Schizosaccharomyces pombe: one gene and its partner. Changing the gene in region 2 together with the main gene of any one other region gives a genetic interaction. Each region holds a gene or a part of one and is shown on either strand. Other genes may lie near its edges.

Region 1 (5,102 bases), on a different chromosome or scaffold from region 2:
GATTTAAGTAGTAGTAGTAGTAGTAGCAGTACGTTGGTTGAATGGGCAAAACCGAAAGACGCGACTACCAGCATGTCGATGACAGCCGGGAATGTCGTATTTGGTAATAATTCTTTAAATATTCGGTTTTGCTAATCTAATTTAGTTGGTAACATTCCATATGATGTTTCGGAACAGCAAATGACTGAAATCTTTAATCAAGTTGGACCAGTAAAGACTTTCAAACTTGTACTTGATCCGGAAACAGGTAGTGGGAAGGGTTATGGGTTTTGTGAGTTTTTTGATAGTGAGACTACCGCTATGGCTGTACGAAAGTTAAATAATTCCGAATTAGGACCTCGTAAGATTCGTGTCGAGTTTCCATCAAATGATCCCAGAAGGAATCAAAGTTATGAATATACGGAGCGTACTGATAGATACATGGAACAGCAAAATGCTCATGAAAGTTCTTATAATTCCCGTTTTATTCCTCCTGTTTTGCATTCAACATCTTCCCTGCCTGCTTCACAAGGAGGTGGGATGCCAAGTCCTGCTATTTATTCGTCGTCAATGGCTACTAATCTTAATAAAAATATAAATTCTACTTCTGTTCCTGCTTATAATTTTCACAACAGTATGACCTCCGACTTTGATTCTGCCAGTCAACCCCATACAGATGCATACAATGCAAGAACCTTTCAGTATAATAAATCTTCACAAAACAAAGGGGATTACACTTCCGGGACTTCTATATCGAATCCGACTTCTATCCCATTGGCCCCGTCTGTCGTTCAGGTACTATCTACCTTCTCAGCTCAGGAACTTCTCAATATGTTGTCCAAACTTCAGACTGTAGTTCATATAGCACCAGAAGAGGCACGACGACTTCTAATTGCTAATCCTGCTTTACCATACGCCGCCTTTCAAGCTATGTTGCTGATGAACTTAGTTGACGCAAATGTCTTACAACAAGTAGTAGTCGCAGTGAAGAATAAAAACATGCATCAACCAGCTTCAGCAACTTCCTCTCCTCCTTCTGTTCCCCAAAAAATACCTTCTAGTAACCATAAAAGTCAACAAGCGAATGGTTCAGATCAGGGCAATGAAGGGAAGCGGGTACGTTTTTTTTTTTTTTTTTGCACTAACAAAACAGATGGCCCTCATACAACAATTGTTGGCTCTTACCCCAGAGCAAATTAACGCATTACCTCCTGCACAAAGGGATCAAATTCTTAGCATTCGTCGGCAGCATTTTCGACAGTAAGTCTAATTTTAGTAATATCAAGAGATTAAATATTAGCATTTGACCAAGTACTTAAATTTGGTGTGCAAGATAATTTATTTACAACACTATAAACCATATCCTAGCACTGATACCTTTTCATACTACACACTTCTTTATACTATTCGGATGTTTTGCTTCTCATAAATATTTGTTTCTATACGCGTTATGGAGGGCTATTTCTTGGATCCTTTATTCAATATCCTTTTATAAAAATTTACTCAATCAATATTTCATATTAAAATTTATTATTTTTTATATTTTAAACTGCCCTTTTGATCGTAAATATATTATAAAAATGTAGGTGGTAACATCAACTGATACTTCTCAAATAAATATGCAACTCATAAATTCCCAAAAAGTTCAATTTCTTAAAAAAAATTTAGATCACAGGTTTAAAATTGTAGTTCAATTTTTCCAACTACGAAGTGTCAGCACTGGCTCATGCAAGCTTCCAAGTACAGACTACATAATTACAGTTTAGGAAATTGAAAACCATCGAAAATGAATAATCCTATGGAAGAACAGCAAAGCGCATTATTAGGAAGGATCATAAGTAATGTAGAAAAGCTGAATGAAAGTATTACAAGACTCAATCATTCATTACAGGTAAGATTACGACGTCAAATATTTGTGTACATATCAACTTTCCGCTGACATTCTTAAAGCTAATTAATATGTCTAATATGAATGTTGAGCTAGCTAGTCAAATGTGGGCGAATTATGCAAGAAACGTAAAATTCCACTTGGAAGAGACCCATACGCTTAAAGATCCCATCTAAAGTTATATGATGTTCTTTAATATTTGTGCTAACGAAATTTGCTATAAAGCACAAGCAAAATTAATATAACAAGGATTGCAATTATTGCTGTCGTGAAAAATCTGTTCATGGCAAGTCTTTAAAATGAGTTAGTATAAAAGATCATTACATGACGATTCATATCACTATAATAATGTCTATCTGTGTCCTACCTTCTTGCCATTGTCTTCAGAGTTCTTAAACTTCGATCAAGGTGTCCAGACGTATCTCCAAGCTAATTTGGTTAACAAATCTCAAAGAAATTTATACATAGCATAAAAGAAAACTATATTTTTAAACCATGGAGCTAATAAGCTTGGCTAAGATATGCGTATAAATCGCGCATTTTATCTTATCAATCATAGTGATTCATTTATCTATTTTGCAATAATTACTTACCATCTCTAAAGAATGCTCCAATTGATTTCTTTGACCATGAAGATCACGAAGAATGCTAGCACCAATGCCTTCAGTCTCATTCGCAATCCGTTGTGATTCAAGAAGACGCTGTGAAGATTGCTCAAGTCTATTTGTTCCTTGTAACAAACGAGTTCTTTGGTCATAATCTTGATCACTTGCAATATAATCACCGGATGTTTCATCCCTATTTCCAAAAAGGGCTTTCCTATCTGATTTGCCAATTTCTTCCTTCTAAACGAGAAAATTGTTAGTATGAATTTGGTAAATAAAAGTAGATTGTCTCATAGTAATTTCTGTAAAGCTTCAAAAGAAGAATGTTCGATATAGCTAACTTACCAGGTGTCTACGCCACTCCTCCAAAGTTGAACGATAACTACGAATTCTTCCATTTACGAGACCTCTTTCAGAAGTAGGGATACCGGTAATTTCAATTTCCATTTGACCAATCTGCAAGTTAGCCACTTTTTTAAAAACACAAATTATTCCAACATACTACTTCATCAATTTCATTTAAAAGTCTCTGACATGATTGAATAACAGAGTTCTCACCACTTTTACTTAAATCATTAAGTTTTTCTTCGATATCTGCTCGAAGCAAGCTAATTATTAGTAAACTTGTAATGGTATTAGACATACCGATATTCTTGCTCGTACGTCTCCATATTTAACAATTATTAATATTGATATATTAGATTTCTTGAAACTATCGTGTAAACAGTTTCTCAAATGAATTAAAAATAAAATAGGTGTAGGTTAAGATTAAATGGTTACGTTGGGAATCGAATACCCATAACAGGTAGTCATATTAATTAAGGCGTGTGTAGAGAGGAATCTACTAAAGCGAAAGAAAAATACAATGTTAAAAGGAATGAATATTAATTAGATAGTGTACAGTTATTATTCCTATGATTCATCAAACCATTTAGTCAATTCTTCTGATAATTCGTCAAATTCGTTTTTCCAGTATAGTAAGCTAGAACCAGATTCTTCATAAACATCACGTACAATGTAACCGTCCATCTCAGCTTGATAAAGTCTTTCTAACGTTACACCAATGGACCAATGCAACCTCATTGCACATTTCAAAGCCGTAGTGCTAGGATTCATAACTTCCAATATAGCGGACAAAAGTTTTCCTGAATGATTAGAAGTTTTTAATTGAAAAAGGATAAGCCCAGAGTTCATTTTGGACGTTGTTATACCAACCTCCATGGAATCTATTAGTTCACAAGCCTTCACAAATCTGGTCGGAGGAATCAGGTTTGCTTTTCTTGACCGATTATAGATGGCCCAAGCCTGGGTCATGGTAACCGTATCGGTATCAGCTTTTAACCTTGTGCGTAAAACTTCTGAGATACTTTTACATAGTTCAATATCATACAATCGAGAATTAGCCGAAACAGGAACATTATCTAAATGATTTCCTCGTAACACTCCTAACTGATTCGATTTGTTTAAAAGCTGCTGTACCTTGTCAGACTGTTGAGTGCCGGTCAGCCCATCCATCTTTTCAGCAAATTGGTCAGCCAGAGACATAGTATCTTTCGCTAAAGAAAAAAAAGCATCTAAATCTTGAAACGCATGTACTAAGGTACGTCCATTTTTGGCTAATTGCATCTCATGAGATTGCTCAAGATCATGAATACCACCCATTCGCAAAGACTTTTCAAGGATGGCCTTCCTCAGAACTTTAGTATCATATTTATTCGAGTATCTTTGTTTTTCTATTTCATCTGTTTCAGATTTGATAGCTTCGTAAAACTTGGATGAACCCGAGCCTCTAAACGAGAGTTGTATAAGCTGGTTTCTATCGACATTTTTTAATTGATTGCCGCAAATTTCACAAGTATTCAGATCCGGATAATTTTGAAAAGTACACGCGGTGCATAATCCTTGAGAAAAACGCGCATCTGATTTCGGCTTTATAATAGTAAATCGGTTAGCAACTCCACAGTTTCTACAAGGATTAATGGGATCACCCACATTGATAAATGTACAAATTTTGCAAGCCCATGACTTTTCCACATGTCGCAGAGAAAGGCGAATTTTTGGGGAGGAGCGAAAATACCTAGAGGTATGCTGTACATCTCTTATATCGGAGATTTTAATTTTTAATGAATTCTTTTTAGGATCTACTGAATCTACGTAGAAGATGTGTTTTTTTGTCAAATATAATGTTCCATTATTATGACGAAAACTTTTCTCATCTCCGAAGTATAAACCTACCTGGTCTTGAACTAGCAAAATTTCTTCTGAAGGATCCAAAACCGGTAGATTAGAAGGGGTTGTTTCTAAATAAAAGGCCATATTAGAAGGAGAGATTAACCAAAATGATAATTGTCAAGTGAATTAAAACTTATATAACATGTCATGTGCCTTGGTTAACTAGTCGAGACCAACAATTGATTTGAGATAATCTGTGAGTACGACTTTCGCTTTATTTAGCTACCTTTAAAAAAAATATTTTTGGATGACAGCTGTGAATGTCGATATATAAATAACATAAATGAAGCCTGTCAAAAGCTCGATTTAATATGTTACAATAAAAAAATCAAACCGTAGTCTTAATAAAAAACAACCCAAGGATCACAAACTAGCGATAAAAGATGCAACAGTGCCAG
Region 2 (6,596 bases):
TATGAAATAGATTATGGTAAAATTGTAGCTTGAAAAATCTAGTATGATCGAATGTTTATAGAAGTTCACAATCAGTCTCGATTAATTCAAAGTCAAATTTGTTTGTTAAACATTCAGCTATATAATTTAGATTGATGCATTGGACATTAGCAAATTAACTAAATGCTTAGTCAAAAGGGATGTATTGGAAGAATATATTCTTACCCTGCCAAATAACAGAAACGATAAAAAAAAACCCACAAATAAAAACAGTAAGTGGGTTCTTTTCATTCGTGAAATCATTGTCGCGCTTACATTTCTTTTTTACAACCTCTGTAGCTAAATTCAAATTTTAAGTAAAGATCGTCGTCAATCACTACTCTAGTAAAATTTCTCAAACGAGATTTTATTTTCGTATTTAGAGTAAAATAATCTTGAGTTTTTAAATATATCTTCAACAATTATTTCTCTTACTTTGCAAGAGTCGACAACCAGCAATGATGCGCTTCAACTTAATAATAGCAATCAACTTCACCCTTCTCTCTATCAGCATTTAGCTTCTTCTTTCTAAATCAATTAACATAAAACAAGCTGAAGTATTACAATTTTATAGCAAAATTGGCCTCAGTAAGCCAGAAACTTAGGTTTTCTTCCTTGACAATGGAAACAAAAATTCAAACAGTTGATACTCGCCTTATCTCTTTTGAAAAGCCTAGTAATGATTCGGAACATCCTTTTGAACACACAAGGGTGTCCATACCTCCCTCAGAAACTCGTTCTGCATTAGAGAACGCCGCGAATATATTGAGAAACACCGATTATCCAGTTGCTTTTCCTACCGAAACAGTTTACGGTCTCGGTGCTGATGCCCGAAGGACTGAAGCAGTCTTGTCAATATACAAAGCAAAGAACCGCCCTGCTGATAACCCTTTGATTGTACATGTTGCTTCTCTGGATCAGCTACGTAGATTGCTGTTGAGTGCATATCCTAAAGCAAAGTCAGAAGTAAAAAATCAAGCACATGACTCAGAGGAGATTATTCCAAAAGTTTATTTACCGTTGATTAAAAAGTTTTGGCCTGGTCCACTCTCAATTTTGCTGCCAGTTGTTGACGAGGCTAATCCCCCGGTCTCACCAATTGTGACAGCAGGACAAAAAACGTTTGCTGTTCGCATGCCTCAACATCCTGTTGCGCTTGCCCTTATTTCTATTTCAGATTCGCCGTTAGCTGCACCATCGGCTAATGCTTCAACAAGGCCATCTCCTACGTTAGCTAAGCACGTTTACAATGATTTACAAGGTAAAATTCCTTTAATTTTAGATGGGGGAGCATGCGGTGTTGGTGTGGAGAGTACAGTTGTAAATGGACTTTGTGATCCTCCCGTAATTTTACGGCCAGGAGGCATAAGTTTAGAAGAAATTCAAAGCTCTGGAGGGGCCTGGGAGCGAACAAAAGTATTCGTAGCTAAAAAAAGTGATATGGAAACAGATTTCATCCCTCAAACTCCTGGTATGAAATACAGACACTACTCTCCAACTGCCAAAGTGCTACTTTTTGTCAATTACACAGAATCTGATGCATACGGTGTTTTTGAAAAGTATTTATCTGAGCAGGGAATCACTAAGGAAAAGCAGAAGATTGGTGTTTTATGTAGTAAACGTTGGAACGAAGAGTCATTCCCTTCTCACTGTCCGTTTGTATTTTTGCATATGGGAAGGGATGGACATGAAATTACAAAGAATTTATTCGCTCAATTGCGAGATTTGGATCTGCAGGGAGTTGATTTTGTTTTGGTTGAAGGTGTCTCCGAGGAAAATGAAGGGCTAGCTATCATGAATCGTTTGGGCAAAGCTGCTTCTGTGGTTTTTGAGGGGCCTTCTCATTAGTTAAAATATTTATAGCTAAGGGGTCTTAGCTTTACTTGTATAGAGGTGTAATTACTTATCGAGCTATCTGTTTATTATTTTGATAAATTGTCTATAAAAGAATTATTTATATCATATTCATTAACTTATGGCTGACTATAATTAATTTGAGAGTAAAATATAAAAAAAAGCTGCAAATCGTAGTATAAATAAGATGCTTTATGTTAAGTTCGTATAACCCTTAAAATTCGCATGTTTCAACCTATTTCTTATTCCGGGAGTCATGATGTACAATAGTTGTTAATCTAATAACGCCAATACTTTAAATCTTTTCTTTATCGGTTATTCTTTCGATACTTCCTCATCACAATGAACTTGAAATTTCCCAAGAGGGTCCAATTTTCTTGGAGATTTCAAAGGCAACTTTTCGCCTACCCAAGAAGTAGCCGATATGTTGTTTTCTTTACGCCTTTGATCAACTGTACCAAGAGTTTGCCAGGTCCCAGGTTGGCCATCCTTTCCAGAACCATCCGCATCTGAATAAACAGAAAATTTAAATTTAGGTTTAGAAATTTTAGTCCTAGACTGGGATATTTCCTGGATATTTGTTGACTCAAATGTCGTTTGTAAAGGATTAACCGAATTTGTATTTGAAGAGAATGATTGTGGGGCAAATTCCAACCAACGGTGAGTAAATTGCTGATACTTTTGCTGAAATCTCAAAAATGGCTTAGCCTTCATTCTTTTTCCTTTCTGATAAACTTCGTCAGCTTTTTGAAACAATCCCCTAGACTCGAAATAATTTGCGTATTCCTCATAAAAAATCGAGGACTCCTGTCCAATATGATGATGTGCCAAGAAAGAAAATAATTCAACCGGTTCGTCTATATAGTTTACATATTGCATCCATATTCGTAAATACCGAACATCATCTTTATAAAGCGGATTTCGTACGAATTCTCGAGTACACCTTTCTAACAATGTTACCAGTCCACTAGTTTTTGTTTCACCTTGAGGGAAATTATCCAAGGTCCATTTAATATAATCGATCCAAACTTGTAGTGGATCATCAAGAGACTCGCTCGTCTCTATTTTTCGTTCATGGCCCATCCTTTCTTTTTGCAGACCAGCAACTTCTTTTTCGGTGTGGTTTCGCGACGAAGATTTTGCAAGTGCAGAAGCTGAATGACCAGCTTTTCTAGGCTCTATGTTTTCCTTGGACTGCTCAATGACATCCATATGCACCCAGTTCTTGCCAGCATCTAATGGTTCCATTTGTAGTCAATGTCTTCCAAAAAATTAGTAAACCTTTTCTAGAGAACCCTATACCTTCCACTAAATGAAAATAAATAAAACAAAGAAGGAGATGTGAGTGTAGTAGTATTGGAAAGTTTATTTAGACAAGTACAATTCTATTGAAAGAACGAAAATAGCCAGTATATAGTTTAATAGAAGGTGTACTGAAAGCTTTTGTATAAAATTAAAAGTGTCAACACTCAAAGAGCAAGAGTAGGAATGTATGAAAGATTGTGCGTAAATTAGAAGGTAAGTGCCAACTTGACGCTGGGGGAGGGTATCATACTTACGCCTGGAAGAGTCCAATGAAAGAGATAAGAAGTTTTTTCTGTTTCTTCGAATATACAGAAACAGAAGAAGAATTAAAATTAACCACTTCACATACTAATGGCTTGTATTATTAAATCATGTAAAACACAACCTACAAAACAACTAATAAAAATAAACAAAATGAAGATTTATAAACAACGATTTACAAGAGTTTATTCAAAAATTAATTTTCTATTTTCATAGCTGGTAAGACACATGAAACTGAGACTGAAGAATGAGCGACTTAAAAAGCTACTGTAAACAAGCAGATATTGGCTTGACCTGCAATAGAAATTTAGAGTTGTGTAGTCATTGCGAAAATGGGAGATTTCTGCATAATTTAACACTTGCATACTAAAAAATAAGTCTGCAAAATATCCTTGTAACAGAAACCAAAAAAAAAAAAAATCTAGTATAAAAAAATAAGAAATCAATAAGTTCGGTATGATAGTTTCGTAAAGTAAAACACAAAGAAATCAAGAGAGTATATCAAGCACATAAGAGTAGACATAATAAGGAACTAGCGAGGGAACGACAAAATTTATTGAGGGTAGTAGAAAAAGGCGAGAACAACAATCGCATACAAAGCAAGTAATTGAACACCTTCAAGCCAATGAGTAGCACCATCTTGTATCAAGTAATTAACCAAGAAAACAGACACAAATAGAATAACTGTTTCCAATGATTCAAAGTAAAGTGTTAAAGGTTGGGAGATGATCCATCCGACGATTACCAAGAAGGGAGCTAAAAACAAAGCAATCTGAATACTGGAACCAATAGCAACACCCAAAGCCAAATCCATTTGTCCTCGGTAAGATACCACGATTGCAGTAACATGTTCGGCAGCATTTCCTACAACAGGAAGGATGACCAAACCAACGAAAGTTTTTGAAATGTTAACTTCCTCAACCAATTGGTCTATCGAACCTACTAAATAGTCTGCGCAAAGAGAAACAAAAACCGTGACGATAGCAAGCATGGCAATGGATGAACGAAGGCCTAAAATTCGAGGTTCAGTTTCTTCTTCCACTTCACTGGGATCATGACAGACATGCTTATGAGTCTTTAATTGGAAAACTAAAAGTAAAACATAGACGATGAGTACAATAACAGCAGTTCCACGAGAGACATGGAGAAGCGCATTTTCGCTATTAGCGTTGTCGGGAAGGCTGTAATGGAAAGTCGCAGGAATCAATATGGTAGCAGTAGATAAAGCAAGCATTGCAATCATAGTTTGTGCAACAGTGATATTAAATGTGGTAATTTCACGACGAATACCAGTAGTTACGAGACACATTCCAAAAACAAGAAGCAAGTTGGATAATATTGATCCGAGAAGGGACGATTGAACGATGCGGAGCTCTCCTCTTTTCAAAGCAAGAACGCCTACAATGAGCTCGATGGCATTTCCAAAACTGTACACAACGTGTTAATAAAATAACAAAAGAAGACGATAAAGTAGGAATCTTACCTAGCATTCAACAATGCTCCCAATGTTGGTCCGCTAATTATAGAGAGTTGTTCAGTAGCAAAGCTAAGCAAGGATGCAAGGGGGATAATAGCAAGCATGTTAAGTATGAAAACAGATTTAGCGTTCCATTCAAACCATCCTGCAATTAAGCCGATCGGAACAAATACCAACATCAAGTTAAAGTAGCTAGACATCAAAACAGATTTGGTCATGCCGACCACGTTTAAAAGCGACAACTGACGAGCCATAGAGTGGTCATACTCTGATCCCAAGAGAGGGGCTCGTTCATGTCTATCCTGGGCGGGAAAATTAAAAGAATTCATAGCTTCAAGTCTGTTCTTAGCAATCTTTAATCTCTCAATCATGTTAGTCCAATTCAACTAATGTCAAGTTCGGCGGCTACTTATAGGACCCGTTTATACGATATTTTGCAAACCGAATACCTCTATGTATAAGCCAAAGATTTGAGGATTCATAAAACTTTAACTTACCAACTATAACAGTCAAATGATCTAACCTTCGGCTATCAAGGGGAATTCCGTTATAACAATCTGATATCCCTGTAAATCCTGAAAGCAAATAAAGACTCCAGAAGCAATCAAAATCGTAGAATTTTTACCCTATATTTCTAAAAAATTAATGCACTTTAAAGAAAATACAGAAATATGAGAAAACAAGAATCGTTTAACGCTTGCAGTCGGATATCAGCATGTATGTACTCAACGCGTTCGAATGCACAAACCCGCTTTGTCACATGTTCGTGGCAAATGCAAAACTTAGCTTAACGTGGCTATCTTCCAAATTTGTTGGTGTTCATAATGACCCTTTATCGATTTTACCTCGTGCTCCGTAAATCAGTTGGATACTATAAAGGCTTGGGCAGTTAGTTCTTGTCGTACCAGCAGCCAACACGAACGTGTTTTACTATTAACCGGATTGAGCGTATTAAGTATTGGAGGTTTTTAATTTTTCTTGCAAATTCTTAATTCGTTAACTACCTTTTGCTTATATTAATATTTCATTAAGTCCGAGCACTTCACATCTTTACAAGTGTCTAGTCTAATACCAGTAATATTGAGAAAATGGCTGTCAAGGGCGACGATGTCAAATGGAAAGGTATTCCAATGAAATACATTGCATTGGTACTTTTAACAGTGCAAAATAGTGCATTGATTTTGGTAAGTAGTCGCGGTTTTTTTAGGAAGTCTTGTGAATTTCTCTGGTTTGTGGAGTATATGGTCAATCTTCTTATAGAAACACGCATGTCTCCCACTTTTTTTTAGAAAAGCTTCGCTGTTTTTATGTAGAAATATATTTCTGTTTTTCCTATTGTACATGCTAATGGTTAAATAGACACTTAACTATTCTCGAATCATGCCTGGATATGATGATAAACGTTACTTTACATCAACTGCCGTCCTTTTAAACGAACTTATTAAACTAGTTGTTTGCTTTTCGGTTGGCTATCATCAGTTCCGTAAAAACGTAGGCAAGGAAGCAAAACTTCGCGCATTTCTTCCTCAAATATTTGGAGGGGACAGCTGGAAACTTGCAATTCCAGCATTCCTTTACACCTGCCAGAACAATCTTCAATATGTTGCTGCTGGCAACCTTACTGCCGCATCTTTCCAAGTTACTTATCAGTTGAAGATTCTTACTACTGCCATCTTTTCTA

Evidence for each region.
Region 1: mutations in mad3 (region 2) and dad4 together harm fitness more than expected from each alone (negative genetic interaction), as found in Schizosaccharomyces pombe (one large-scale study listed by BioGRID).

The regions. Positions count from the first base shown.
Region 1 is NC_003423.3:4,002,998-4,008,099, reverse strand, and holds dad4 (DASH complex subunit Dad4), read left to right. Parts: upstream 1-1,717; 5' UTR 1,718-1,765; coding exon 1,766-1,870; intron 1,871-1,898; exon of another isoform or gene 1,899-1,929; coding exon 1,930-2,043; 3' UTR 2,044-2,071; coding exon of another isoform or gene 2,072-2,159; 3' UTR 2,160-2,234; coding exon of another isoform or gene 2,235-2,296; 3' UTR 2,297-2,460; coding exon of another isoform or gene 2,461-2,712; 3' UTR 2,713-2,817; coding exon of another isoform or gene 2,818-2,928; 3' UTR 2,929-2,974; downstream 2,975-5,102. Other genes in the region: cleavage and polyadenylation specificity factor complex subunit Ctf1, read left to right, coding at 73-103, 146-1,095, 1,133-1,243; SNARE protein Vti1, read right to left, coding at 2,072-2,159, 2,235-2,296, 2,461-2,712, 2,818-2,928, 2,975-3,080, 3,118-3,143; ESCRT II complex subunit Vps36, read right to left, coding at 3,385-4,788.
Region 2 is NC_003421.2:994,212-1,000,807, reverse strand, and holds mad3 (mitotic spindle checkpoint protein Mad3), read right to left. Parts: upstream 3,393-6,596; 5' UTR 3,121-3,392; coding exon 2,188-3,120; 3' UTR 1,969-2,187; downstream 1-1,968. Other genes in the region: SUA5/yciO/yrdC family protein Sua5, read left to right, coding at 640-1,866; vcx1 (CaCA proton/calcium exchanger), read right to left, coding at 3,992-4,865, 4,922-5,286; Golgi UDP-galactose transmembrane transporter Gms1, read left to right, coding at 6,004-6,099, 6,275-6,596. UniProt on the Schizosaccharomyces pombe protein: Component of the spindle assembly checkpoint which is a feedback control that prevents cells with incompletely assembled spindles from leaving mitosis.